7 linked regions of the Xenopus tropicalis genome follow. The protein of the gene in region 2 interacts with the protein of the main gene of each other region in a pairwise test. Links are inferred from orthologs where the notes say so. Each region holds a gene or a part of one and is shown on either strand. Other genes may lie near its edges. The genes, in order: lgalsl, mad1l1, bag5, cchcr1, mfap1, usp15 and tex11.

What was found.
Region 1: the proteins of mad1l1 (region 2) and lgalsl interact in binary tests that used the Homo sapiens proteins (3 or more experiments, as listed by UniProt). The two-hybrid records come from large-scale screens. The link is inferred for Xenopus tropicalis from reciprocal best matches to the Homo sapiens genes MAD1L1 and LGALSL.
Region 3: the proteins of mad1l1 (region 2) and bag5 interact in binary tests that used the Homo sapiens proteins (3 or more experiments, as listed by UniProt). The two-hybrid records come from large-scale screens. The link is inferred for Xenopus tropicalis from reciprocal best matches to the Homo sapiens genes MAD1L1 and BAG5.
Region 4: the proteins of mad1l1 (region 2) and cchcr1 interact in binary tests that used the Homo sapiens proteins (3 or more experiments, as listed by UniProt). The link is inferred for Xenopus tropicalis from reciprocal best matches to the Homo sapiens genes MAD1L1 and CCHCR1.
Region 5: the proteins of mad1l1 (region 2) and mfap1 interact in binary tests that used the Homo sapiens proteins (3 or more experiments, as listed by UniProt). The two-hybrid records come from large-scale screens. The link is inferred for Xenopus tropicalis from reciprocal best matches to the Homo sapiens genes MAD1L1 and MFAP1.
Region 6: the proteins of mad1l1 (region 2) and usp15 interact in binary tests that used the Homo sapiens proteins (3 or more experiments, as listed by UniProt). The two-hybrid records come from large-scale screens. The link is inferred for Xenopus tropicalis from reciprocal best matches to the Homo sapiens genes MAD1L1 and USP15.
Region 7: the proteins of mad1l1 (region 2) and tex11 interact in a two-hybrid assay, tested with the Homo sapiens proteins (2 studies listed by BioGRID and IntAct). The two-hybrid records come from large-scale screens. The link is inferred for Xenopus tropicalis from reciprocal best matches to the Homo sapiens genes MAD1L1 and TEX11.

Annotation. Positions count from the first base shown.
Region 1 is NC_030681.2:32,406,962-32,411,116, reverse strand, and holds the start of lgalsl (galectin-related protein), read left to right. Parts: upstream 1-1,355; 5' UTR 1,356-1,451; coding exon 1,452-1,484; intron 1,485-4,155. UniProt on the Homo sapiens protein: Does not bind lactose, and may not bind carbohydrates.
Region 2 is NC_030685.2:31,040,442-31,044,659, reverse strand, and holds the start of mad1l1 (mitotic spindle assembly checkpoint protein MAD1), read left to right. Parts: upstream 1-1,418; 5' UTR 1,419-1,457; exon of another isoform or gene 1,458-1,480; intron 1,481-1,508; exon of another isoform or gene 1,509-1,531; intron 1,532-3,436; 5' UTR 3,437-3,464; coding exon 3,465-3,617; intron 3,618-4,218. UniProt on the Homo sapiens protein: Component of the spindle-assembly checkpoint that prevents the onset of anaphase until all chromosomes are properly aligned at the metaphase plate.
Region 3 is NC_030684.2:98,469,449-98,472,790, forward strand, and holds bag5 (BAG family molecular chaperone regulator 5), read right to left. Parts: upstream 2,190-3,342; 5' UTR 2,156-2,189; coding exon 803-2,155; 3' UTR 501-802; downstream 1-500. UniProt on the Homo sapiens protein: Co-chaperone for HSP/HSP70 proteins. It functions as a nucleotide-exchange factor promoting the release of ADP from HSP70, thereby activating HSP70-mediated protein refolding.
Region 4 is NC_030684.2:75,158,315-75,161,814, reverse strand, and holds part of cchcr1 (coiled-coil alpha-helical rod protein 1), read right to left. Parts: intron 3,185-3,500; coding exon 3,053-3,184; intron 2,879-3,052; coding exon 2,768-2,878; intron 1-2,767. UniProt on the Homo sapiens protein: May be a regulator of keratinocyte proliferation or differentiation.
Region 5 is NC_030679.2:107,681,155-107,684,030, reverse strand, and holds the end of mfap1 (microfibrillar-associated protein 1), read left to right. Parts: intron 1-270; coding exon 271-379; intron 380-453; coding exon 454-614; intron 615-778; coding exon 779-938; intron 939-1,167; coding exon 1,168-1,257; intron 1,258-1,866; coding exon 1,867-2,046; 3' UTR 2,047-2,376; downstream 2,377-2,876. UniProt on the Homo sapiens protein: Involved in pre-mRNA splicing as a component of the spliceosome.
Region 6 is NC_030679.2:62,759,285-62,763,481, forward strand, and holds the start of usp15 (ubiquitin carboxyl-terminal hydrolase 15), read right to left. Parts: upstream 2,801-4,197; 5' UTR 2,722-2,800; coding exon 2,633-2,721; intron 1-2,632. UniProt on the Homo sapiens protein: Hydrolase that removes conjugated ubiquitin from target proteins and regulates various pathways such as the TGF-beta receptor signaling, NF-kappa-B and RNF41/NRDP1-PRKN pathways.
Region 7 is NC_030684.2:44,799,164-44,802,663, reverse strand, and holds part of tex11 (testis-expressed protein 11), read right to left. Parts: intron 2,476-3,500; coding exon 2,390-2,475; intron 2,312-2,389; coding exon 2,174-2,311; intron 1-2,173. UniProt on the Homo sapiens protein: Regulator of crossing-over during meiosis. Involved in initiation and/or maintenance of chromosome synapsis and formation of crossovers.

The sequences.
Region 1 (4,155 bases), on a different chromosome or scaffold from region 2:
AGTACGTAACAGTGTTGTTATTGCAACCTGGGGTTTTTATGTTTATGAATTATTTTTACTAAGCCTTTAGACACGTTTCTGGTAGTTTCTTAACGCCAACCCCCACACCTGCCAGGAAAAGGTATGGTAGAAGGTATGAATAAGGCCCTGCAAATCTCAGCCTCTTCCCACCTTATTTCTTAAATCATTGGGACATGGCTCCTGGACTTGTTTGCTGCTACTTTCCTGTATGTCTTATTATTCTGCCCAGTCCTGTATGGCGTGTCTGTCTGCTACTTTTACTTTACATTTCTGCATATCCAGTTCTTGCCAGTCCCTTTTCTTGCTTTACAGCCCAGGTCTAGTAATCCCTCTGTTGCCCCTGTTATTACCCCTGGACCTCTGCCTTTAGGCATTCAACTCTTTTTAAAGGTAGGAATGTTAGCCACCCTAACTATCTATTCATTTAACCCTAGACTTGTTGACTCTAAAGCCTTGTAAAAATGCAAATATTTCAGAAACCACTGAAAACAGAAAATAAATAAAACTTACAGATGTGCTCAGAGAAGCACTCTAAATATGTTTAAATAAATTCAGTTTTTTGGGTGTAGTTCCCCTTTAATACTTGTGCAAGGCTCAGCCTATCATGGGTTGCAATGCACTATTATTTTATAGTTTGAAATATGTATTACTATTATTATTCTACTGAGCTGCTACCAGCTCCGTCTGTTTAATGAGGTAGAACCAGTAGTGCAGAGAATATAAACATACATTGCTTTCTATATTACATTTACAAATAACTTTAGGAGCATTGACATTGTTCAGTTTGTATATAGGGAAGCTTTGAGACCTGTTTTGCTTATGATTGACTGGGTTTAGTTTTGCTAATGTACAAATAATGGTAACAGCCAGAAAAAGGCCAAATTATAAGGCAGTGAATTTAACGCTATGGGATTATTACCTATAGTATGGCAAGATGGTGTCATTGAACAGAGCTGCAACTGTAGGGCAGTGTGTATAGCAAGGCAAGGTGGGGTAACAGTAACCTGTTGTTGCACTACTACTAGTGTTTGGGATGTGGGAATTGTAGTTCATTGGAACCCTATATCCAAAACTGGGTTGGGGCACAGTAGGATTCATTTGTGAATCCGCCATACCAGCCCTTCGTGTTTACAAATGCAGAAGCTAGTGATTATCCATAGACACTGCCAGCCTGAGCCTGAGCTTGTCTCCTCCATTCACACACATAGCAACTCCTCCTCCATCGCCACCTCCCCTCTCCCCAGCTGGTGGGAAGGTTTTGCAGTGCCAGGTCAGCCCCGGCTTCCTTCTGTTCTGTGCGCCGGCTGAGCTGGACTCAGACCTGCCCTCCCATCCCCTGCTACTGTCACCTCCTCCTTCTCCCTCCCGGGCTCCAGCTGATCCGGTGCCCCCCGCAGCCTTTGCTTATCCGTGCTAGGCTTCGCTACAAGATGGCGGGATCCCTGGTTGAAAGCGAAGCACTGGTAAGTCATTATACGTCAACATATTATTGCTGATCCATAAAGAATCGGGAGCATACCAATTGAGGGGAAGGGGGGGGGGCAGTGCCACCTTACTGGTGCCCGCTTGGATCCTTTGGCATGCTGTGTCTGACCTGGCCGCCTTGTTAGCTGGCAGACTATACAGTATCCATGAGGGCTGACAGATATTACAACGTGTACTAGTCCCGACTCCCTACAGTAGCACGGTATGTATAGGAACACGACTGGAACAAACCTGCTGCATAATATATATCGATGTGTGGAAAGCACCACCTATTCGTATGTAGAATATTCTCTATTACTAAGTATGGCCAAATCACTGTTAGTCCAATAACCAGGAATCACAGTATAAGAATTGTAGTGTAAATCGGGGCAAGTCCATTCCTATGCACACACTAGGAGCCTGTCAGCTTGGCTTACCGGCTGCTGGAAGGACAGGCACTAGCCCGCACTGCTGGATTGCTCCACTGGGGAAATGGTGGACATGTTGGCGATCATGAACTGTGGGGCCCTGTGACATTCATTCAACAAAAAAGCACCACAGTTTTGGAAAAAATGCATTTCAGTACAGGCAAGGTTTGTAGAGTGGTATGTGCCTGCCAGGGTGCCCTGTCTTGGTTGGGACCTGGCCTGAGGCTTGGGTGGCCACCGCTTCTGGAAGAAATACCAGCTTACCTATATTTTTTATCTTTTGTCACTATGAATACCATTGACAGGGCCCCACTGGAACATCTGTGCAGGCACCCTCTAAATTTCGATTGATGTACTGATATGGAACCTGTGCGCCCATTGAAACCCCACTGGGATCTCGCTACTGTGGGGCTCCCAGATGGTGGTGGGTTTGTTGTTTTTACTGTTACAACCTTGAACTATTTGGTCCCAGCACCTTTGGGTGGCCTTTTTATGGTTAGTCTTTGCCCCCACCTTAGACTTGGCACCAAATGTTAAATGTTTGTAGGTAGGCACAGAATTTTTTGCAGCGCTCTTAGTAAATGAACCCCACGTGTTTCGGACAAAGTATGAACGGATAATGAAATGGACTGACATTAGGCCTCAGAACCGTGAAGCTGTCACAAACAGGACCGTGAGAATGGGCTGTTAGAAAAGAATTACAGCGATAAGTCTCCCTTTATTTACCCACGGATTCCCTTTAATCCCTGGTGTCTCTTGTTGTTCTCTGTCTTGCATTTCTGATGTGTAACCTTGCAAAGCTCAGAGAACGCATAAAGCACCATGTAAAAAGATATTTTACATTCTAAATATTATCCTTGTGTGGAAGAGAAACACACCCTTCATTTGTAATTTGAACAAAAAATGCTGGTTAATCTTTCTTAGATATGTTACTCTCTAACATATTTATGTTTCTCTGTTTATTTTTATATTGTTTGGGGAATGAGAGTCCGATCAGTTAGAGGCTCAAAAAACACAAAATTAGTTTTTTTTAGGCTTTGCTTTTGCTCTTTTTTCTAATCAGCAAAAGCTAAACAAAATGTATTTTGTGTTTTTTGAGCCTCTAACTGATCGGACCTTATGACTGCAGGGAGCATGGCGCTAGCATGAAATGCGTAGGGTTACTGTCTCATTCCCCAAACAATATAAAAATAAACAGAGAAACATAAATATGTTAGAGAGTAACATATCTAAGTAAGATTAATCAGCATTTTTGCTGAAAGAATAAAATGCAATTACAAATGAATTGGATGTTTCTCTGCCATACAAGGATAATATTTAGGATGTAAAATATCTTTTTACATGGTCCTTCAGATATTCAGTTCAAAATTAACAGCAGGGTAATGCTAGTGTCACACAGGGCAATTATAACCTGGCATATTGTAGCATGGTGAAAAGTGCCTGTGGCATTCCTTCACTTGACTGCTGTACTTTCAGAAGTGTTGGGTGTAGATAGACCTGGACACCTCAGAATATCATACTGTTAAGTGGGACTTATTCTGAGTGGTTCTATCAACATTTTTCATTCATTTCATTTTCTGAGCCACTTTTAGGCTGCTGATGCCAGGCTAAATATTCAGTATTAACTGAAAGTGCATAGATGTTTAAGCTTGCTGTCACTGTGACCTTCAAAGAAAGCTGAAAGCCTGGTATTAGCAGATTTATACCCAGACAACTTTTATGTAAATTGCACTTAGAGGGCCACCGTGAATAAGTTTACACCAATTTATGTTTCTTGATCCATTTTAAAAAGCATTGGACTGTTAGCCATGGGAAGCATGCTTTTTTTTTATTTTGAACCACATTGTACCTTTATATAGACTTGCCAGGTTAACCAAAATTGCTCTTTCCATTCATATAAATAAAAACAAATATGCAGATAACCTGTGTCTGTGTATTGTACTAGATATTTACAGAATAATATTATAACGTAAACACTGCTTATATATAGGGCCTATTTTATCTCTGAGCCACACTTTGCTCCTGAGGGAAGGTGTATTTCAGTAGCAGCTGGGAGGGGGGGATGCAGCTGCTACGAGGAAGCTACATTCTTAAAGAGACCTGGTTTGAGAAAGTGCCACTTTAAAAGACCTGATGACTGTTTCTGTATGAGAGTGTATTTACTCTTAGCGCTACGTCTTGCCCTGTATTTATAGTAATCCCCTGGCAGACTCTACATGACATGCCACGTGTTTGAACAGAA
Region 2 (4,218 bases):
AAAGTGCAGCCTCCGTTGTCTCACACCTTACTATCTATTTTTTTTTTTTAGACAGGACCTGCTTTTACAATGTGCCAATGTGTGTGTACTTTATACATCTTACGAGTCACCACACAAAAAAAACTTGTCCTTTATGATCTTTTAGACCAGGGGTCCCCAACCTTTCTTACTCGTGAGCCACAGTCACATGTAAAAAGCCTTGGAGAGCAACACAAGCACCATAAAAGTTCATGGAGGTGCCAAATAAGGGCTAAGATTGGCTATTAGGCAGCCTCTATGCACACTATCATCTTATAGGAGGCTTTATTTGGTAGTAAATCTTGTTTTTATTCAACAAAAACTTGCCCCCAAGTCAGGAATTAAAAAATAACTACCTGGTTTGGGGGCACTGAGAGCAACATCCAAGGGGTTGGGGAGAAACATGTTGCCCCTGAGCCACTGGTTGGGGATCATGGTTTTAGACAGTCAGTGCTCAGGTTTGGTAACTTTGAGCTGCACTTACTTTAGACTGACTCAAACATGTACACAATTACCTACTCTAGACAATGAACGGCTGCATCAATTAACTGAAAAATTGGCTTGTGAGCCAAAGGGCACATACCGTACTCAGTACAGCCACTTTTCTATTGCCCTCTTCCCTTCCTCTGACAGCAACTATCTGCACAGTATTGTCACTACCTCGTCTGCTGATGCACAATTGCACCATACAGTCAGCATAATACATTGGCAGATTCAGGCCCAGACTGAATGCCAGAGGGGCTGCTGTAAGATATCATAGACATTCACTGTTTAGTAGGCTAGTGTGGGGCCTCTATGCAATTTGAATGCCAGGGCCTATTTTGAGCATCAGTCCAGACCTGGGCAGATTACTTTTTCCACCATGTCTGATGACCCAATCTATATGCATGGTACAAAGATATTGTCTTGATTGTCAGGCCAGCCTGCAATATATTAAAACTGGTTATACAACTAGAACTAACATGATTTTCAGTACTTGTAGGCTGATGTGACACTCAAGACAATATCTTTGTACCATACATATAGGTGCAGCCTTAGTAACCATAAAGGACAGTACTAGGAAGATTATATAAAAGTTTAGAAAATAAATGTATATATTTTTATATATATATATATATATATATATATATATAAATATATATGTTTAAATATATATATATATGTTTAAATATATATAAATATATACATGTATACATTTAAAAAAAAAATAATAAGTGTGTAAAAAAAAAAATAAGTGTATATATATATATATATAAATGACACCCTACCCTCTGCCGATCTGATTCCAGCTCGCTGGTAACTGCGCCCAGTTCTCTATCAATACGGCAACGCCGGCAAACTTAGGGTGTTTACGGTAAATGTGTTCTCTCGCGAGAGTTGCCCAGAGATTGCTGAGAGCGGGATTGTTCATTTCAGGGAAGGGAAGGAGGAATCTGGCGGTGAGTGAGAGGTGCTGTATTGGGTGAGCATGGGCACAGCCGCACAGGTCTCCTGCTCTACAGTTATTGGTGATGTACGCACTGCTGGTGTCTATGTGCAGCTGTATTGCAGGACTGCAACTCCCAGATTCCACCAGTTTCTCAAGTCAGTGTTGCTCAGGGTCCCAAGCTGCTACATTACAGCCAAGTTCGCAGCAGCAGCCCAAAGGGAAGTTTTAAAGCGTGCAACTATTTCCCCTTTGACTTAAAGTGCTAGAAACCACTGGCCTTGGGATCTTGAAGAATGCTGGGAAATGTAGTCAGAAGATCTAGTCTACAGCATGCAGTAATAGCCTATTAGGAGGGCCCCCCCAGCACTTGTAGACTCTGCTTCCTTGGGATTACTTAGGATTTTTGCACAGTTAGACATCTATCAAAGAGCATATCCATAAAGAAGAAGCAGATCCTGCCATTATAAGGGGGCAGTGGGGTGCTTACTGATAAGCGGTTTAATAAAAAATATATTATTAATGTGTTAATGATTTTGATGGGCTCTTTAATGCTTTCATACTTCTTGTGGGTTACATTGGAAGGGTTAAAAGGCTGATGAGTTTTGAGCATGTAATGCTCTACATTATGGAAAGGCTTCCCCCCCCCCCCCCCCCCCCCCCTTCCCAATCCAGAAAGTTTAAGATCCCAAGCATTCTGTGGATATTATATCTCGGGTTTATAAAGGAAATATAGACCCTCAACAAATTATTGAAAAATTGCTCCAAGTGCTCATGTAAGCACTTTTGCCACTTTTGCCTCCATTCAAGATATTAACAGTTTTTCAGCTGCTAGTATAATGAATTTGATTCAGCAGTGCTGGCTACTGGTCATTTTGGCTGCCTGGTTGCAATCAGCAGAAAATTAATTATGTGAGAAGACCAGTGGCTTGTAAAGTTGCTCTGCTTAGAAAATGAAGTGAGCAGAAAAGAGTCATCTGGGGTTGCTCTGGTCATTTCTAAGCACATTGTCATCACAAGATGTTCCTTTCCTCTCTCTAACTTTTCATTTTCATCTGACTGTATGCAGATAGCTAAAATAAACAGCAGGTGGCGCTGAGGTTTGAAATTCATTATATTAGCAATTATGTTTAACATATGTGTCAGGATCCACAAGGGTAACCGTGTTGTTTACGAGGGGTCTTCATGATTCCCCTAAATAATATATTTTTTCCTACAATTAAATATAGTGAAGCTGGCTTTAGAAAATAACTTAGGGCCCCTGAGAAAAGAGCTTATGAATGTAGGCAATGGTCATAATTAAGTTAAAGAGCTGCTGCAGTTACGGAGTGTCAGTATATTACTGAGTTTGTACCATGGTGCAATTACACTAGCACTTTATAGGGTGTAATTTGCATTAAATTTTCCAGTAACAATATTGTTATTATTTACTATGCATTTTTATACCTTATAAAGTAAAATTAGATATGTGCTGTCTATTTATGGTTGTATTTTTTGTCTTTCTCCTTTTAAAATTGAAACTTATTTTGTTAAATTGCCCTTTAGGCGTGAAATGGAAATCTCCCCAATTGCTGGTGTTCGTTGCATTGCCATTATTTATATTATCTGTGCAGAGAATTGCATCTTCACATAGTGCAGATAAAGACTTAAGGTGGCCATACACGGGCCGATTGTAGCTGCCAATATCGGCCTGTGTAGAGGCAGGAACGACGGGCATGCCTGACCGATATCTGGCCTGAAATTGGCCAGATATCAATCGTGCAGGTTATAAGATTTAGTCGGATCGGGGACCGCATTGTTTCGTTGATGCAGTCTCTGAACCGACTGCACCCATTACTGCCAGTGTAATTCGATTGTTTGGCCCCAGGGGTCTCTTAATGTTCCTTGTTAGGTTTTTTCCCCAGCTAGAAACCTTAGAACCGTACAGTCATATACAAACATATTTGTATTCTGGCTACATAATCCACTGACATTTTCCTCCCATTGTTTCAGATCTGCCTGTAACCTGTGAACAGCTAAAATGGATGACAGTGAAGACAACACCACTGTCATTTCCACACTACGGTCATTTAATAAATTTCTTTCTCAGCCATTGGAAGGGACAGCACCTTCTCTTGGTACTTCAACATCTACTGGAGCTTCCCTTCAAATGCAGTTTCAGCAGCGCTTTCTGGTATGTGTATATATATCATTAATATTTATTAATATTATCTAACAGAGGGATGTTACTATGCAGGTCTGTACTAATGTTTGCATTTGACTAAAACTGGGGGCGGTTATAGTTAAACATACCTATTACCGCCCCCAGTTTTAGCCTAAACTAGTCTGTGTACAGGAATTTTCACAACAGACAATTGGCTTATACATAACTTATGCAGTTTGTGTAAGTTTAGCAACGCAGCTGGGCCCCCTTCTGAAGCAGAATTCACCAGTATTCTGAAGCAGGCCCACCAGTACCCTCCATCCCCCCTAATGGCAGCCCTAGTTGGACCACATATATTGGTCAGTAATGTGCAAACTATATAACATTTCTTGCAAAAGTTGTAAAGTTCACATGCCTAGAGTAACTACAGGTCCTACAGACATGCAAAATATATAAGCAACAGTAGTCTGTCCTCTCAGATCTACAGTTGAACTCCTAATCGCTAAATGGAGGGGACCCATGTTTTTACCTCAGTATCATAGCTCTTGTTATACTACAGCTTGTATTGGGGTTACTTTTGAAACAGCTACTAACAGTGATCCCCTGCAAACAGGTTACATAAGCAGAAAGC
Region 3 (3,342 bases), on a different chromosome or scaffold from region 2:
GCTTGTGCAAGATTTAATGCGATAAAATGTGAATTTTTGTATATCTTTTTTTAAAAAAAAACCTTATTCAATTTGAATTTTTTGCCCATTTTGAATAGCATGTGCTATGCTTTAAGAATGTTTTCGCTGTCTGTACAGAATTACGAGATGCACATTTTGGTTTGTGAAGCACATTCTCTAAATATATAATGACACAATGGTGCTGATTTATTAAAAAATGAGTTTAGAGCTTAATACATGAAAACCCACATTCACCCTTAATTTCTGTTTATTACTGGGTAAAAGTTAGAGTTCATCATTTGATAAACACACTTCTAAAAATCCCATAGGAATTAACAGAAATCAAGCTGAACTACATCTTTTAATTCTGCATGTGCTGCAATGTCTATTTTGTAATTAGATACCTTAAACGCAGCAGCCTTTTTACACTGAACAATATAATTAAAAATGTACATACTATTCACTTGTGTACATAACAATGACAATGTTGTACCCCCATCAAAAAAGACAGAACTTTTATTTAAGAATCAGCACAAAAATGAGAAGAGAGATACAACTAGAAATATGCCACTTATTGTTCCACTTGATAAAGTCAAACTGGGATATTTAGCATTAAACATTCTATAATTTTTCGCCATTGGTACATGAAAACAAAAACTGGCTAGCTTTTGACTGAAGCTTTGTTTTATGACAGATAATTGGCTTAGTAAAAACCCTATCTTGCAATGATAATGCAAGGATGAAACTGAGACATCTTTACAGCCATATTTAAAGTGCAAGCAAAGCGAAAGCAGTGTTTTTTTTAGTATTCCCATTCATCAGTTTTCATATCAAGATATCCAAGGATATTATTTGCAAGCTTCACAGCTTGTTTTCTTGCAGCCTTTGTACGGCCATCCTGTGAATCAATGGCATCAAGAGCCAGCAATTGTTTAGTAATAAATTCTTCTAATCTCATATAATTTTTATCAGCTCTCTTCCCATCAAAGAAGAGGACTTCCTTTTGAAGTTCAGATAAATGTCCAAAGACAGTCCATACAGCTATATAACATGGAGGCTCTGAGACTGTGTGTTCTGGTAAACTCTGGCGCTTTTCGAGAGCTTCTTTTAGATCAATGTAGGTGATGACAGTTTGGACCTCAACTACAGCTCGTCTTCTAGCTTCACGAATGCAAGGATTCCTCCCTACACTAACTTCATCCAAGCTAGCTATGAGGCCCTGCAGCTCTGACTTTGTACCCATATAGATGTCAGACATATGCTGCTGCACTTCTAAAAGACTGTTCTTTATTTTTGCTGCTTCTTTGCGAATCTCTTCTATTTTTACAATTGACTGGTTTTGGCCCAAGTCATAAGCACTTCCCAACTCAGCTTCATCCTCTAAATCCAAATATTTCAGCAAACTGTTGATTTCCTTAACAACTTCTTTGCGATACTCTCTTATGTCTGTGTGGCCAGAAACATCCAGAGCATCCAGGTTTGCAATTAATCCAGTAAGAGTGCAAGATAAATGCCTGTATGTTTCATTGTCATTGACGCCAGCTAGAAGAGCTATGAGACTGCATCTGGCTTTGTTCACATCACACATAATTGAGTTAATTTTAGAAACTGTTGGATGTGCCTCAGCAGAGAGAGGGAGAGAAAGTACTTGTTGTTTAGAAGAGCTTTCTAAAATTTCTTGAATGGCAAGAACTTTAGTTAAAGTTCGGTACCTAGCTTTTCTTAGAGGGATCTTTCCCTCGGTTTTTACTTGAGTAAGTCTTTTCAAAATATTCTGAATTCCTTCCTCAAATTCATCTGTTCTCTGACCTTCCCCACTAAATTGTGTAGTATGTAGCGCTACCAAACTCTGAGTTTCACTAAAGATCTTTTCGATCTCAAGTCTGCAAGGATGGGTTGCATTCTGCTCCAGTTCCTTTAAAACTCTTTCTGTCTCTTCAGTAGCTTTCTTTTGGGCTTGTAGAATGTTTCCTTTTCCCTCTGTCTCAATAGATTCTATTTCAAATAACTGTTTAGTTAAATCTTTTTCAAGCTTTTTATAAGTTGGGTCACTCTTTAGACCACTAAATGTCACCACTTGTTGTTCAATCTCTTTGACCTTCTTCTGTATTTCTTGAAGAGCTGTGACTGAAGCATGTTGATTACCCATATCCATACTCAATACAGCAATTTCTTAGAAGATACTGGTGCTAAAAAAAAAACCAAAAACAAAAAGGTAAAGATGCCATTCCTAAGACATGTTTATTTAAACAAAAAACAGGTATTGTCTAACCATTACATTACATTACATTTATTTATAAAGCGCCAACATATTCCGCAGCGCTGTACAATAAGTGGGTTACATACATTGGACATACAGAGTAACATATAAAGCAATCAATAACCGATACAAGAGGTGAAGAGGGCCCTGCCCAAAAGAGCTTACAACCATCTCTTCATCCATGTATATATACTGTATATATATATATATATATATATATATATATATATATATATACTGATTTGAATAATGTTGATTTGAATAAAACTTCTATATTTTCTTAAGACCTGTGAGTGCGGACTCTCTCTACAGCTACTCCATCTATTATTTTGGGACTGCACCCAGGCTCCCTTGGACCTACTTATACGTGAGTGCCTGTCTTCTTGCAACATGCTATATATATATATATATATATATATATATAATTGAAACCTATGCCCCACGCACTTCACTTAAAAACTGGAAGGATTTTTCTTAAACTGTTTTTAATAAAATAATGTTCTAGTTATACTTTTCTTTCTCCTCCTCTATCTCCAAAAATTCCTGCATAGAACTTAAGTATGAAACTATGTAGCTAAATTAAGTAGAAAACTGAATCCCGTTTAGCAGAAAGTACTGGCCATGATGCCCTCTTACACTTTTCCATGCTCACACAAATTTTGAGGCCAGTGCACACAGCACACCAGTGAATCTGGTGTGAAACATAAAGGGAAGATAATGCTAGTTAGTCAAAGTTTATACCAGTGCTGTCCAACTTCTGCGGTGCCGAGGGCCGGAATTTCTTTAGCATACACGGTGGAGGGCCGCTAATGGAAGCCAGTTTTGGCCACTCCCCTTTTTTTGAACCACACCTACTTCAAACCACACCCATTTTATCACAATGGTGGTAGTGCACCAAAAACCCAAATGCTTGGTCCTCACTGCGGGGATATCAACAGTTATTCATATGTGAAAGAATTATATTATGTCATATTAAGACACACCCTTAAATCCATATGCCTCCTCCTCCCCTGTGGATAGCACAGCAACCCCCAGCAACATAATTACACACCTTAGGGACCATTTAATGGCTGTTTCCAACT
Region 4 (3,500 bases), on a different chromosome or scaffold from region 2:
TTTGGGAAGGCCTTATAAGGGCCTGAGGTCCAGATCCAGGAACTCATCAGTTGTGGCTGTAGGTATGGGTTTTTAATTTTAGCCCATAGGGGGCTTGTATGATAGTGGGACCATGCGGATATCCACCTTAAATGAGCTGCATCATGGTAATTTTGGATAGAGGGGGCTCCTAAGCCGCCTTGTAACATATTGGTTAATAGGATTGATCTGGAAATTCTAGGCCTTTTATTACCCCAAATGAATTTCTACAAAGCACTTAGAACTTCCTTTATCATTTTAGTAGGTACTGTCACCGGAATGGTCTCGAATAAATACAAATATTTAGGTAAGATATTCATCTTAATTGCCGCAATACGACCAAACCAGTTTGACCATTTATGTAGCGTGAGTTTTGTTTGGTGAATCAAGGGAGAATAATTTTGCTTAAAGGACATGTAAAGCCTACATTTGCCTACAATGTATATCAGTTAGGCACATCACCCCCACCCAAATGGCATCATTTGTACTGCATATATACCCCTCCGCTAGCCAGCACCATCACATTTTCCTAAAGCAAATAGCTGCTTTCACCCGGTGGCCATTTTTCCTCTGATACATAATCAGTTACATTTAAATCTGCAAACAGCATACACACACACAAAAACCCTTATGCAGCATAAATTTCATCAACAATACAGGCTCACACAGGCAGAACTGTCTCTGATAAAAGTTCTGCTTTGTTTGAGCACTGTAGGTAAAGCTGAGCTCAGGAAAAAAAAAAATTGAAGCAGACAGCTAGAGCTGAGTTTCTATGGGAACCAGCAATGCCATCTCTTCACTGGCTGCTAGACTGGGGGCATGTTTAGTAATCTGAGCTTAGAAAAACTGAGCATGCCCACAAGCCAACAGCCAAAGCAAATTCCTGAGGGAGGGGGCCGAGTGGGTTACAGGAGGAGAAGCAATGTTAAAGCCTAACTGTTAACCTCTGGACAACCAGTGTGGCACATACTGAAAGATTTAAAAGAGGCTGATCACTGATTAAATTTTTGTGTATGGGGTTTACATGTCCTTTAAGAAGGGAACTATATAAAAGGTGTAAGGCAGACCCCTAAATAGGTAAGTTTATCTGTTTTCCATTTGTAGGCAAATTTTTCTTTCAGTGCTTCAGCTGTCATGGGGTGCATACCTTGTGAAAGAGCTTCTGACTTGTCCATATTGATCTTATATCCTGACAGGTTGCTATAGGTGCTAAGGATACTATGGAGGACAGGGAGTGATGTGTGTGGGCTGGTTATTGATAGAAGTACATTGACTGCAAACAATGCTATTTTGTATTCTGTGGAGGAGATTTTTAGCCCTTGAATATCTGGGTGGTCTCTAATATATGCTGCCAAGGGCTCTATACTTAGAGCATATAAAAGAGGGGATAGAGGGCACCCTTGCCCAGGAGTTTAAGCTGGGCCGTTTGAGAGTTATATAATGCTTGTATAGCTGTAAGGAAAGGGCCCTTGAAGGCAAGATGTATTAGAAGGGAAAATAGGTAAGGTCAGCTAAAGCGATAGAACGTTTTTCTACATTCAACCCTAAAAATACCATAGGTTTGCCTAGCTTTTGTGCTGCCTCCAGTAATACAGTTGCCCTTCTGGTGTTATCTCCAGCCTGTCTCCCTGTTATAAAACCCACCTGGTCAGGGTGGATTAGCATAGGGGCTAGAGTAGATAACCTATTGGCCAATATTTTAGTGACCTCCAGGTCGTTTTAATTAGCCTGCTTGCAACATTGTTTCAGGAGTCAGAGCCAGGAATGCCGGGAATGTAAAGTCAGACATAATTTGCTTTTTATGGCAATGTGCAAATAATGGCAGAAAGAGATGCATCTTGTTAGATTTTTTGGACAAACACACACAAGCTAATTAAATGAGCCAAGTGACTTGCCATGTGGGGGCACTAGATGAAATGACCAAGTTAAATGCAAAAGTATTGACATTAGCCACCCAAAGCATTATTTAACAAGTCTGTACCAGGGATGCACCAAATCCACTATTTTAGGATCCGGCTGAACCCTGAATACTTTGCCAAAGATTTGAACGAATACGGAATTAATATGTAAATTAGGTAAAGGAAGGGTTAAAGAGAACCACGCATGTAGTGTGTGCTGAAAACTTTTCAGCTTCTACGATTGTGAGACAAAAAGTCACATGATTTTAAGGATTGGTGCATCCCTAGTCTGTATACAGAACAAACATTAAGGGGGCAGATTTACTAAAATGCCATAATTTCTACTTTTTTCTATTTTCAAATTCAACTAAATTGATTTTCCCAAATGTCTAATATTTACTAAAAAAATTTACTGCAACAATTTGGAAAAAGTCGAGTTTTCATACAAAACCCTGCAAAATCTCAAAGGTTTTGAAATAAAAGAAAGAACCTTAAGAGAAGGGACCTTTGCGATTAACTTCTACATGAACTCAGCAAATTTAATCAGGCAAATTATGAAATTCGGATTTTTAGCCGTTTAGATGCATAGTAAATGTCGAAAAATATCTGAATTGAGTTTAAAATAAAAAATAGATGGTTAGTAAATGAGCCCCTAAGCATCTGCATTAAACATAAAACTAACACAAATAAAGGCTGATGACTATACTGAACTACACAAACAGTTTTATGTTCCGAATAGAACATTTTTTGAAATTTTGGGAAGCTTTATTATTTACTGTTGGAAAACTAACCACTGCCCTTAACCTTAAAAGTACTGCAATGAAGCCCAATTTATAAGGTTCCATACTCACTTTACTGTGGACCCTCTCCATTTCCAGCTCAGCTGTACGATCTTGTAGGGTGTGTAAAAGTAAAATCTGCTCCTGATCTTTTTCTTGCAGAGCTTTTTCCAGGGATAAGATCTACAATAAATGAAAAACAAGCCGGCTAAAATGTAACTGTAAACAAAGAACAAAAGAGAGTTGAATTGCAATCACAGAAATGTCTGTGCATTGTTTACTGACACACTGCTTTTTAAATATCTCTCGCACACAACTTTTTCAATCTCCATTCAACACCATTCTTCCATTTCTTACTTTTTCTCTGCTTTTTCTATGGTCATCTTCTTTGTTGATTTCCTCAGATTTAAGCTGAACCATGAGGCAGAAAACCTTCTCACGCCATCTTGACAGAAGATGTTGAAATTTCTCATAATCCTGGGGTACGCCCTACAAAATAAAGCCATGTTTAGGTTTGCATAAATTAACTGAATTATTTAGCTCTGATTGCAGTCTCAGTGCCATCATGCCACACGGAGCATAAAACAAGGAGAGCTATTAACATTTATTCAATTTGTGACCGCTCACAGCAATCCAAATGCAGAATAATGTAAGAAAGAACAAACACAATACACACAGTTAGTGAGTGCAACCTTATTATTTTTTATGCTGCCCAGCATTTACATAAGCAGGCACTTCCTTATCATTGCAACCCTTTAGGCTAATGGCAGATGAGGCGTAGGCGGATATTTTCGGCAAGCGTAAA
Region 5 (2,876 bases), on a different chromosome or scaffold from region 2:
GTTTCCAAGGTTACAAATTAAAGGGGCAGTATCTGTTTTTTTTTTGGGAGGGGGTAGTCTCCCCTGCTCCCCTGCATTTTATCTCAGCATCTTTGCTCTTATTTTCTTGTGACCCACCTGCATTATGCAGCTGCAGGCTGAAAAAAAAATATCTTTAATGTATTTGGGACATTTAAAATTATAGCAACTGTGATTTTCCATATATGAAATGGCTCTCTGCTTGATGTTAAATACCAAAGGGCTTACAGTATGTTGCTGTAACCATTTCAGGAAAGACAGAGTTACTGTGCAGGAAAAAGAAGCTGAGGCGCTTAAACAGAAGGAGCTGGAGGCAGAGACAAAACGAATGGCAGAGGAGAGAAGGAAATACACCTTGAAGGTAAGTATTTGTCTTGATGCAGTGGTAGTTTTGTTAGAACTTTCTGCTTCCTCACTGCAATATTTCATGTACAGATTGTAGAGGAGGAAACAAAGAAGGAGATTGAAGAGAATAAGCGATCCCTGGCAGCCCTTGATGCCCTCAACACAGATGATGAGAATGATGAAGAGGAATATGAAGCCTGGAAAGTAAGAGAGTTAAAGCGCATCAAGCGAGACCGAGAAGAAAGAGAGGCGTAAGTATTTCTATCCCGACTCTATGGATAAAGTCATACTGTACGGCTCATTTACTGCTTGCCATGGTTTCTTTACACTTTGGATAATACTGATAACTTTCACAGTTTACCTGGACTTGTGTGCCTAAAGTTAAATGTTATTTTGTTTATGTGTCATGTAACAGGATGGAGAAGGAAAAGGCAGAGGTTGATCGTCTGCGTAACATGACAGATGAGGAAAGACGGGCAGAGCTGCGTGCAAACGGCAAAATAATAACCAACAAGGCACTGAAGGGGAAATACAAATTTCTGCAAAAATATTACCACAGAGGTGCATTCTTCATGGTAAGAACTATTTAACTAATTTACCCATTCTATATTCATTCCTGTGGGATTTTTAAAAGAGTAAATGTTAGAATTCACCATTTGATAAATTTGCTTCTAAAAATCTGATATTATGGAAATTGGTGAATTTTTCTGTGGTGAGCTCGGTACTCTCACATTTTGATAAATTTTGATGAATTTTACAGAAGCTTATTTTACAGAAAGCTTTGTCTTTTTTTTCCCCCCATAGGATGGAGATGAAGATGTATATAAAAGGGATTTCAGTGCACCCACCTTGGAGGATCATTTTAATAAGACTATATTGCCCAAGGTCATGCAGGTAATTGCAAGAATGTTGCCGTTTCTTACTTTTTTTTGCTCTGCCTGAATTCTAAAGTATTAGATTGATTCCCTGTTTTACTGGGCCACACAAAAATGTGTATTATCACAGTATAGGAGGGATACTGGATGTGATTAGGAAGGTGGTAGTGAACAATGAAGAGTTAGCAAAGTCTAAAACTGCCAGCCATCAGTAACACTGTTATAAAATATATGCAGGAGGGAAAACATTATGCATTCACCCCTTAATGTTTCCATTACATAAATACAATGGAATATTTTTCCAAAAGCAAGAAACTGAAGTGTTTGTTTTCTAGTGATTCTATATATAAAGCAAACAAAATTGCTTGGGAGATGTTAGTCAACTGGAAATTATGGAGCAAAATGGTTATAAATATTAAACTGTCCTTTTTTGTCAAAATTTTCATTTCCAGTAGCTGTGAAATCCTCTGCTAGTCCCCACACAATAGCCCAATATATCTTAAACATGTCCTTAATTTGCACTGGCTACAATTTACTTATGCCATTTATGTTGGGTTCATAGCATGGAAGATTTTAATCTGTGGTTTTCCAATCCAGTTCATAAATTGATATCATCTGTTTTATTCAGGTCAAGAATTTTGGACGTTCAGGTCGGACAAAATATACTCACTTGGTTGATCAGGACACCACTTCATTTGACTCTGCTTGGGGTCAGGACAATCCACAGAACACAAAGTTCTTCAAACAGAAGGCAGCAGGAGTAAGGGATGTGTTTGAGAGGCCGACTGTGCAGAAAAGAAAGACATAAATGTCCGTGTCTATGAGGGACTTGTCCATATTTTCTGGGTTATAAAAAGAACTGCAGCTCATAAACAAGGACCACCATTACTTGCACATACTCTGTATATATAATTTGCAAGTAATGTAATGTTTTTTTTTTTAATGTGTGAATGAATTGTTGGGTTTGTCATTAGCAAATCACAAAGCATTCTCCAAGCTGTGGAGAAACAGAGATTTTCACAGTTTTTTCAAAAATGTTATAAAAGGTATTTTTTAGTTAGAATCATTTTGACATTCAGGAACACTGAAACCGAGGCAAGATTTGATAATATTTGTAAATAAAAAAGTTACTCTGTCATATCTCCTAACGATTTTTGTATGCCCCTCTATCAATCCTGTGAAATAATTGTTTTGCTTGTACAGTAATGAAAGCCACTGGTCCATTTTCTCATGTCCAGCATTCAGCATCTTGTGTGGATTGGTCTGATGTACAGGTATCTGTCTATGCAAGACCTTTTATTGTCCCACATGCTATCTGCTGACTGGAAAGTAAGCACAGTACAAGTGACAAAGAGTTGCCTGGGTACGTAGTTTTATAATGAAAAGTGAATTTGGGTTGGCTTCATGCATTATAGTTACATGGTCAGTCATATACAGATCTGCTGTTAAACTTTTTGGGGCAAAATATCTGAAATTTTGAAAATCTTTCCACCCAGGCATATAGTCAATAATATTATTATTTATTTTTAACATTTATTTAAAACACGCCAACATATTCTGCAGTGCTGTACAATAAGTGGGTTTCATACATTGGACACACAGAGTAACATATAAAGCAATCATGAGTCCCTGTCTCAG
Region 6 (4,197 bases), on a different chromosome or scaffold from region 2:
AGTAAGGCAAGTAAAGCAGGCAGACTGAATCACAGCTACTGAGCTAAATGAGCAAGCCACTAGTAGACACAATAGACAATAATTTTATGCCTAATAAAAGAAAACTTAATTCTAAGCAACTTTCCAATAGCAATTTATTAAAAATTAGTAGTGCTTTAAAAGTTCATTGTAAATGTAATTGCTATTGAAAGCAGCATTTGCTGAACTCCTGGTTGTTACTTTTTAAACAATGTTGTAAATGCCAGTCTCCTCCAGTAAGACAGGTCTGTCAATCTGCTGACTTGTGGTTACATTGTTTCAAACGCCAGAGCCACCAGGGCAGAGAATAGAAAAGGACAGACAAACACTGCTGTTAATAGCAGTTATATATACAAATAACTCAAAACCAATTACAAATATGTAATTAATGTATATTGCAAAGTTGCTTAGAATTATGTTTTCTTTTAGTAGGCAAAAAATATTTTTTGGAGTTGACATGTCCTTTAAAAACCAGATTGCTGACACTATTTTAACTATAGCACCATCATACTTTCCCCCAGGCCCCCCACCCAAACCACATAAGTTACAACTGCTGGTGACTCCTGTAGCACATAGCGAAGTGCAGAGTTGTGTACTGGTGTTAGATGCTAACATCTTGGCCTGCATCATTTTGTTTCCTGTTTAAATCTTTGTGACATGCACTCAGTAGTCAAAGACTGCAAGTCAGCACAAATCATAGGGATTCAAACAAAGAATGCAACTGACATGGTACTTGATATGGGATGAATACTTAAATTCTGGCAGCTGTCAGTGATGTGGTTCAAAAGGGGCCCTGAGAAACCATGCTAATTTGTAAACTGATGGAATAAGTTACTTTAGGTTTCTAAATTATTTATAAGTAATGTTTACATGGTATGAAGATTCTTAAAGTATATTCTTTAGATCATAGAAGGTGCAAATTACTTTTAGTCTGGTACCACATTAGTTCAAAATGACTTGATCAGATGCAACCCTAGCAAAATACTGTTGTAGATTTCCATGTGAGTACATATATAGTATTTGGTAATGGTAAAGACCTATACTGCAGTATAAAATTTGATCTAACACTATTAGCTGAATCACACCTCCAGTATGTGACCTCAAAAGGAATGCATTTATGAGCAATAATGTGACTAGACCTAAAAATTAATCTTCATCTGAGAAACAGTAATTAAGGAAAAATGTGGATAAGGACTAAATGGGGTAAGTACAGTTCTAAACAGTAACACTGATACATGACATCTATCACAATGCCTGTTACACAGTACACCATCTGTAGCCATATGGCACAGGTTTGTCATCAACAAACTACTAAGGACATCAACTGTTCTACATTTTCAGCATCAGAAACTCAAGATTCCAGGAAGCTAAAAATAAGAATGTGCACAGGGAAAGGGCCTGTTATTTTCAGTTAGCATCACAGTGACCAGCACTGAAGGCAAAGAGCCAGAATCAAATGCAATGATTTGGGGAAATTTATTATAGTCTGAATAAGGTTCATGCCTTTCTTCTCAGGAGTTTTAATTTGATCCCATTAAATAACCTGACCTTCTGGATTTTTGCTACATTTGCTTATTTATAAACGCATTGCAAGCTTTCCTCAGTTGGCTTTCTCAGCTGATGAAATCCACTATTTCCTATGCCAAATCTTGCAGCTATACCAGGGTAACATGCAAAGTTGTCTGAGAAAAATAAGCACTGCATTCATTTTAATGCAAGTCTATGAGAGGAATTTACAAGTTGCTCAAACCTTATCCTCGTTGTTTCCATTGCTAAATAATTGCGGAAAAGATTTTCAGATTTTTTTCTAGTGGTAACCATCATTAAAGCAGAAACAAACTAAACATTTAACAGCCATATGTAGGGGCAGATTTATCCTAGCTCAGTTAAGTTTTCTGGATACCGTTGCTCATTTTTGATTTACATTTTTATAGTCTTGAAAAATTTGTTTCTGTGTGAAGAATATCGTCAATCTTCATTTTTTAAACATGCAATATGCAGAGCGCATAAATGCACACACATGCTTTCGCTGCAGTTTAAAACCATCAAAATGATTTTTTTTTGTAAGTTATTTACAATAACATTTTCTTTTATTATCTAAAACTGTATTTTGGGGGTTCCATGTTATGTGCAATATTTTATCAGTAATATTCAAAACTGAATTAAACAGATAACAGCAATGAAAAGTAGGCCCTCTAGCATATTTTGAAAGGCCAAACATTAGGGGTTGCAAGCAGAGAACAGCCGGGTCTCCCTGGCACAGCGACTGTATGCGAGTGGGCTTGTGGGAGAAGTCATAAGCGTCCCAAGGCCCCTGAACTACACAAGTACAGGACTTGGAGTCCGTGTGGCCAACCGGCCGCAGATGCTTAGGAATGAGGCAGACTGCCCCTAGCGAGCTCTCAGCACATGAGTGACAATGAACAGGTGACAAACCCGGTACTCTGTCCCCACACACTGCGCTGCTGCTGTGCATGATACAGATGTTTTCCCTGTCAAGCTCCTTCGTTACCTTTCCCACTGCCTGGAACCTGCATTTTCCCCTCACACCGTCGCTTAGTAAGTGAGAGCGCGTCCCCTGCCACATCTCCCCGCTGTGCTCGCTCATGCTTACCAGGTGTCTCCTCTTCTGAGAGGGGTTTTCAGCAGGGCTGACACTTCGGATCTCTGAGTCTCCAGATCCACCACTCCGCCCTCCGCCATCTTACTCCACTGACAGCTACGCGCTGCATTCTGGGAGTGACGTCACGTAGGCGAAGTAGGGAAAAAGCGCGTTCCCGGCTGTGTTGTTGGAAGAAGTCGGACAGTGGGTGGGCACAGTGTGAGGTGCTGAATGATGTGCTGCAGACAGTGAAAACCAAGTTATTATAGACCTGGATGATACTCTTCTAGTAATACATTGCCTTGTGTTCTTATATTTTAGATTCATTCGAATACATTACGAAGATAGGGTGAAGAAAGATATGTAGCAAAATTCCCCTTTTCATCAAAAATTTGGTCAGCTCTCCCCCTTTAGTTTAAAACAGTCTTAGATATATGGGATTTGGATTTGCCAATCAGCCAAATATAATTCAGACATTTGAGCTTTAAAGGAACAGTTCAGTGTAGAAATGAAAGTGGGTAGAATAGACTGGGCAAAAAAAGTGTTTTCGACTGCAAAAAGATGTTTTCAATATAGTTAGGCAAAAATGTGATCTATAAAGGCTAGAGTGGGCAGATGTCTAATTAATATGAAACAATGATTTTTTAGTGTGAATGAAATGTATAGCCCACTCCAGATACCTTGTGCTTCCGTTTAAACCAGTGATCCCCAACCAGTGGCTCGGGGGCAACATGTTGCTCACCAACCCCTTGGATGTTGCTCTTAGTGCCCCCAAACCAGGTAGTTATTTTGAATTCCTGACTTGGGGGCAGTTTTGGTTGAATAAAAAGAAGATTTCCTACCAAATAAAGCCTCTTGTAAGCTGATAGTGTGCATAGAGGCTGCCTAATAGCCAATCTTAGCCCTTATTTGGCACCTCCATAAACTTTTATAATGCCTGTGTTGCTCTCCAAGTCTTTTTACATTTGACTGTGGCTCACGCGTAAGAAAGGTTGGGGACCCCTGGTTTAAACAATAATACTTAACTCTGGAGCGCCCTCCTCTGTCCAGACTTCCCAGATGAGGTCTTATGGGATAAAAGAAAAAAAAAATATATATATGTATATGTATATATAGCGTAATACAGTAATATAATATTGATAATCACCCCTCCAAATGTGTTTGTATCCGAAACAAATCACTACCAAATTCACTTCACTTTTCTGTGAAAACACATAAATACAATCCACTGCAAAGTGTTTAACGTTCATGTCTATTTAAATAAGTGAATTTCCGTATTTCACACTCTTCAGTGACTTCCTTTTAGCCTTATCCAATTGTGCATATACTTACAGACTAACACTATGGTCTTGGAGCAACCTGCTCCGCTATAGGATGAAGAAGTTTGTAGAGTCTGGGTGTTGTACCCCTAAAACTGTAGGAGTAGTATTTAGAAAAATGGGGGGTGCTAAGAAAAAGAAGATTAAGAAGCATAAGAATAAGATGAAGTTGAAGAACAGTGTGTTGGTTCAAACCAACCTAATAACTGAACAGTTATGTCCCATATGGCCACCCTAAAGTCACTGACTAAGAGGTTA
Region 7 (3,500 bases), on a different chromosome or scaffold from region 2:
GAAGCAGTGTTTCCCTTTGTTTCAGTGGGAGGCATTGACAAATGAGCATAATGCACCGCTATGAGCAGGTATTTGTGCACTGGCATAGATGATAAAGGTAATACAAAACTCCAGAATAATAACAACATACATGTGCACCCTTCTCATAAATAATGGTTGCATACCTTCCTACATTCCCCTTTAACATAGTACATTTGTACTCATATGTGATCCATGCATCATTGCCACTAAATGATGATATGAACAATACTTAAAAATACCAGATTTTACCAGGTATGCAGAGATTTCTCCATGGACAGATGCTCTTTTAAAGTGTATGTTTTTCAAAGGGAATGATGTAGGGTATGTACTGTAAACAAATGCAAGATGCAGTTTCAGAAATTCCTCAGAGTTGGTCCCATCATATAGCCCCAGAAAGCTGATTTATTCAGTCTGTTTTCATAATCTCCATTTTAAAGATGGTTTAGAAACTGTTGTTAGGCAAGATGTATATATATATATATATATATATACAGTGGTGTGAAAAACTATTTGCCCCCTTCCTGATTTCTTATTCTTTTGCATGTTTGTCACACAAAATGTTTCTGATCATCAAACACATTTAACTATTAGTCAAAGATAACACAAGTAAACACAAAATGCAGTTTTTAAATGAGGGTTTTTATTATTTAGGGAGAAAAAAAATCCAAACCTACATGGCCCTGTGTGAAAAAGTAATTGCCCCCTGAACCTAATAACTGGTTGGGCCACCCTTAGCAGCAATAACTGCAATCAAGCATTTGCGATAACTTGCAACGCGTCTTTTACAGCGCTCTGGAGGAATTTTGGCCCACTCATCTTTGCAGAATTGTTGTAATTCAGCTTTATTTGAGGGTTTTCTAGCATGAACCGCCTTTATAAGGTCATGCCACAACATCTCAATAGGATTCAGGTCAAGACTTGGACTAAGCCACTCCAAAGTCTTCATTTTGTTTTTCTTCAGCCATTCAGAGGTGGATTTGCTGGTGTGTTTTGGGTCATTGTCCTGCTGCAGCACCCAAGATCGCTTCAGCTTGAGTTGACGAACAGATGGCCGGACATTCTCCTTCAGGATTTTTTGGTAGACAGTAGAATTCATGGTTCCATCTATCACAGCAAGCCTTCCAGGTCCTGAAGCAGCAAAACAACCCCAGACCATCACACTACCACCACCATATTTTACTGTTGGTATGATGTTCTTGTTCTGAAATGCTGTGTTACTTTTACGCCAGATGTAACAGGACACGCACCTTCCAAAAAGTTCAACTTTTGTCTCGTCGGTCCACAAGGTATTTTCCCAAAAGTCTTGGCAATCATTGAGATGTTTTTTAGCAAAATTGAGACGAGCCATAATGTTCTTTTTGCTTAAAAGTGGTTTGCGCCTTGGAAATCTGCCATGCAGGCCGTTTTTGCCCAGTCTCTTTCTTATGGTGGAGTCGTGAACACTGACCTTAATTGAGGCAAGTGAGGCCTGCAGTTCTTTAGATGTTGTCCTGGGGTCTTTTGTGGCCTCTCGGATGAGTTGTCTCTGCGCTCTTGGGGTAATTTTGGTGGGCCGGCCACTCCTGGGAAGGTTCACCACTGTTCCATGTTTTTGCCATTTGTGGATAATGGCTCTCACTGTGGTTCGCTGGAGTCCCAAAGCTTTAGAAATGGCTTTATAACCTTTACCAGACTGATAGATCTCAATTACTTTTGTTCTCATTTGTTCCTGAATTTCTTTGGATCTTGGCATGATGTCTAGCTTTTGAGGTGCTTTTGGTCTACTTCTCTGTGTCAGGTAGCTCCTATTTAAGTGATTTCTTGATTGAAACAGGTGTGGCAGTAATCAGGCCTGGGGGTGACTACAGAAATTGAACTCAGGTATGATAAACCACAGTTAAGTTATTTTTTAACAAGGGGGGCAATCACTTTTTCACACAGGGCCATGTAGATTTGGGTTTTTTTTTCTCCCTTAATAACGTAAACCTTCATTTAAAAACTGCATTTTGTGTTCAATTATGTTATCTTTGACTAATAGTTAACGGTTTTTGATGAGCAGAAACATTTAAGTGTGACAAACATGCAAAAGAATAAGAAATCAGGAAAGGGGCAAATAGTTTTTCACACCACTGTATTATAGCTGTGGCTCTAGCAGTAATGTTATAAAACTAACCTTGGGATATTGCTTGAGTAATATGTAGCAAGACGCTCGGTTCCTCTGAAGTTTGGCAAGGCTGAGTTCAGCTGTTCCAGAAGCAAAGAAGCTTAAGGAGTAGTTATACCACTGCAAAGCTTCAGCATAGTTCTTTGCCTGTGGAAGACAGCAGTCATTTAATAAAACAAAGCTAAATATCCATGAAATTCAACAAAACAGCACTGGCTACAAGACCTCAAAGCATTTGGCTGCATAATCCCACAAGATGGCATGCAAATGGCTCAGCATTTCTGGAGACAACTGCTTTTTTGAGTAATGACCTGAAAAAGAAGATACGAGACACAACCTTTAGTTTTTTTTTTCATTTATTTGTGATTTTTGTGCTATTTAATGCATAAATGTTTAAATGTTTATATCTAGAGCACCAACTAAATGATTTATATGGACAAACAATCCCTGTTTTGCTTAAAGGGAAGGGCATTTCTTAGTAGCTTTAATGCACCGAATGTCTTAAAGGAACAATAACACCAAAAAATAAAAGAGCTTTAAAGTAATAAAAATATAATGCAATGTTGCCCTGCACTGGTAGAACTGGTGTGTTTGCTACAGTAACACTACTATAATTTATATAATAAGCTGCTGTGTAGCCACGGGTGCAGCCATTCAAGCTGGAAAAAAGGAGAAAAGGCACAGGTTCCATAGCAGATAACAGATAAGTTCTGTAGAATACAATAGTGTTTTATCTGTTATCTGCTATGTGCCTGTGCCTTTTCTCCTTTAAATGGCTGCCCCCATGGCTACATAGCAGCTTATTTATATAAATTATAGTAGACTTTCTGAAGTAAACACACAACTTTTACCAGTGCAGGGCAGCAGCACAATATATCTTAGTTACTTTTATACACTTTCATTTTTTGGTGTTACTGTTCCTTTAATGTCCTATATATATTGATAATGGGTGAGTGCAGAGGATCTCTTGTTGTTGTTTCGAGCACATTTATCAAAAATATAGATTATTCTTCTTCTTTAAACAGTGCAAACATGGAAATGCTGTACTTCAGCTCCTTCTGGTTAATGGATTTCATTATAATAATTACATTTACTCTTATGAATCATATGGTGCAATAAAAAAGAAGCACTACAGAAATGTCTTTACATCTGTGTTGGCAACCAACAGACCGAAGACATTGTTTGAGGAGTTGATTGCCTGACCAGGTATAAACTTTCTGTTTTATGTTTAGGTTTGGAGCCTGCTCTTAAATCTTTCCCCAAGATTTAGTGGGTCTAAGGTACTTTGGGTATGGGAACATCAGGGGCCAAAGAACTGCAGGCTGTAGAAGGCAGT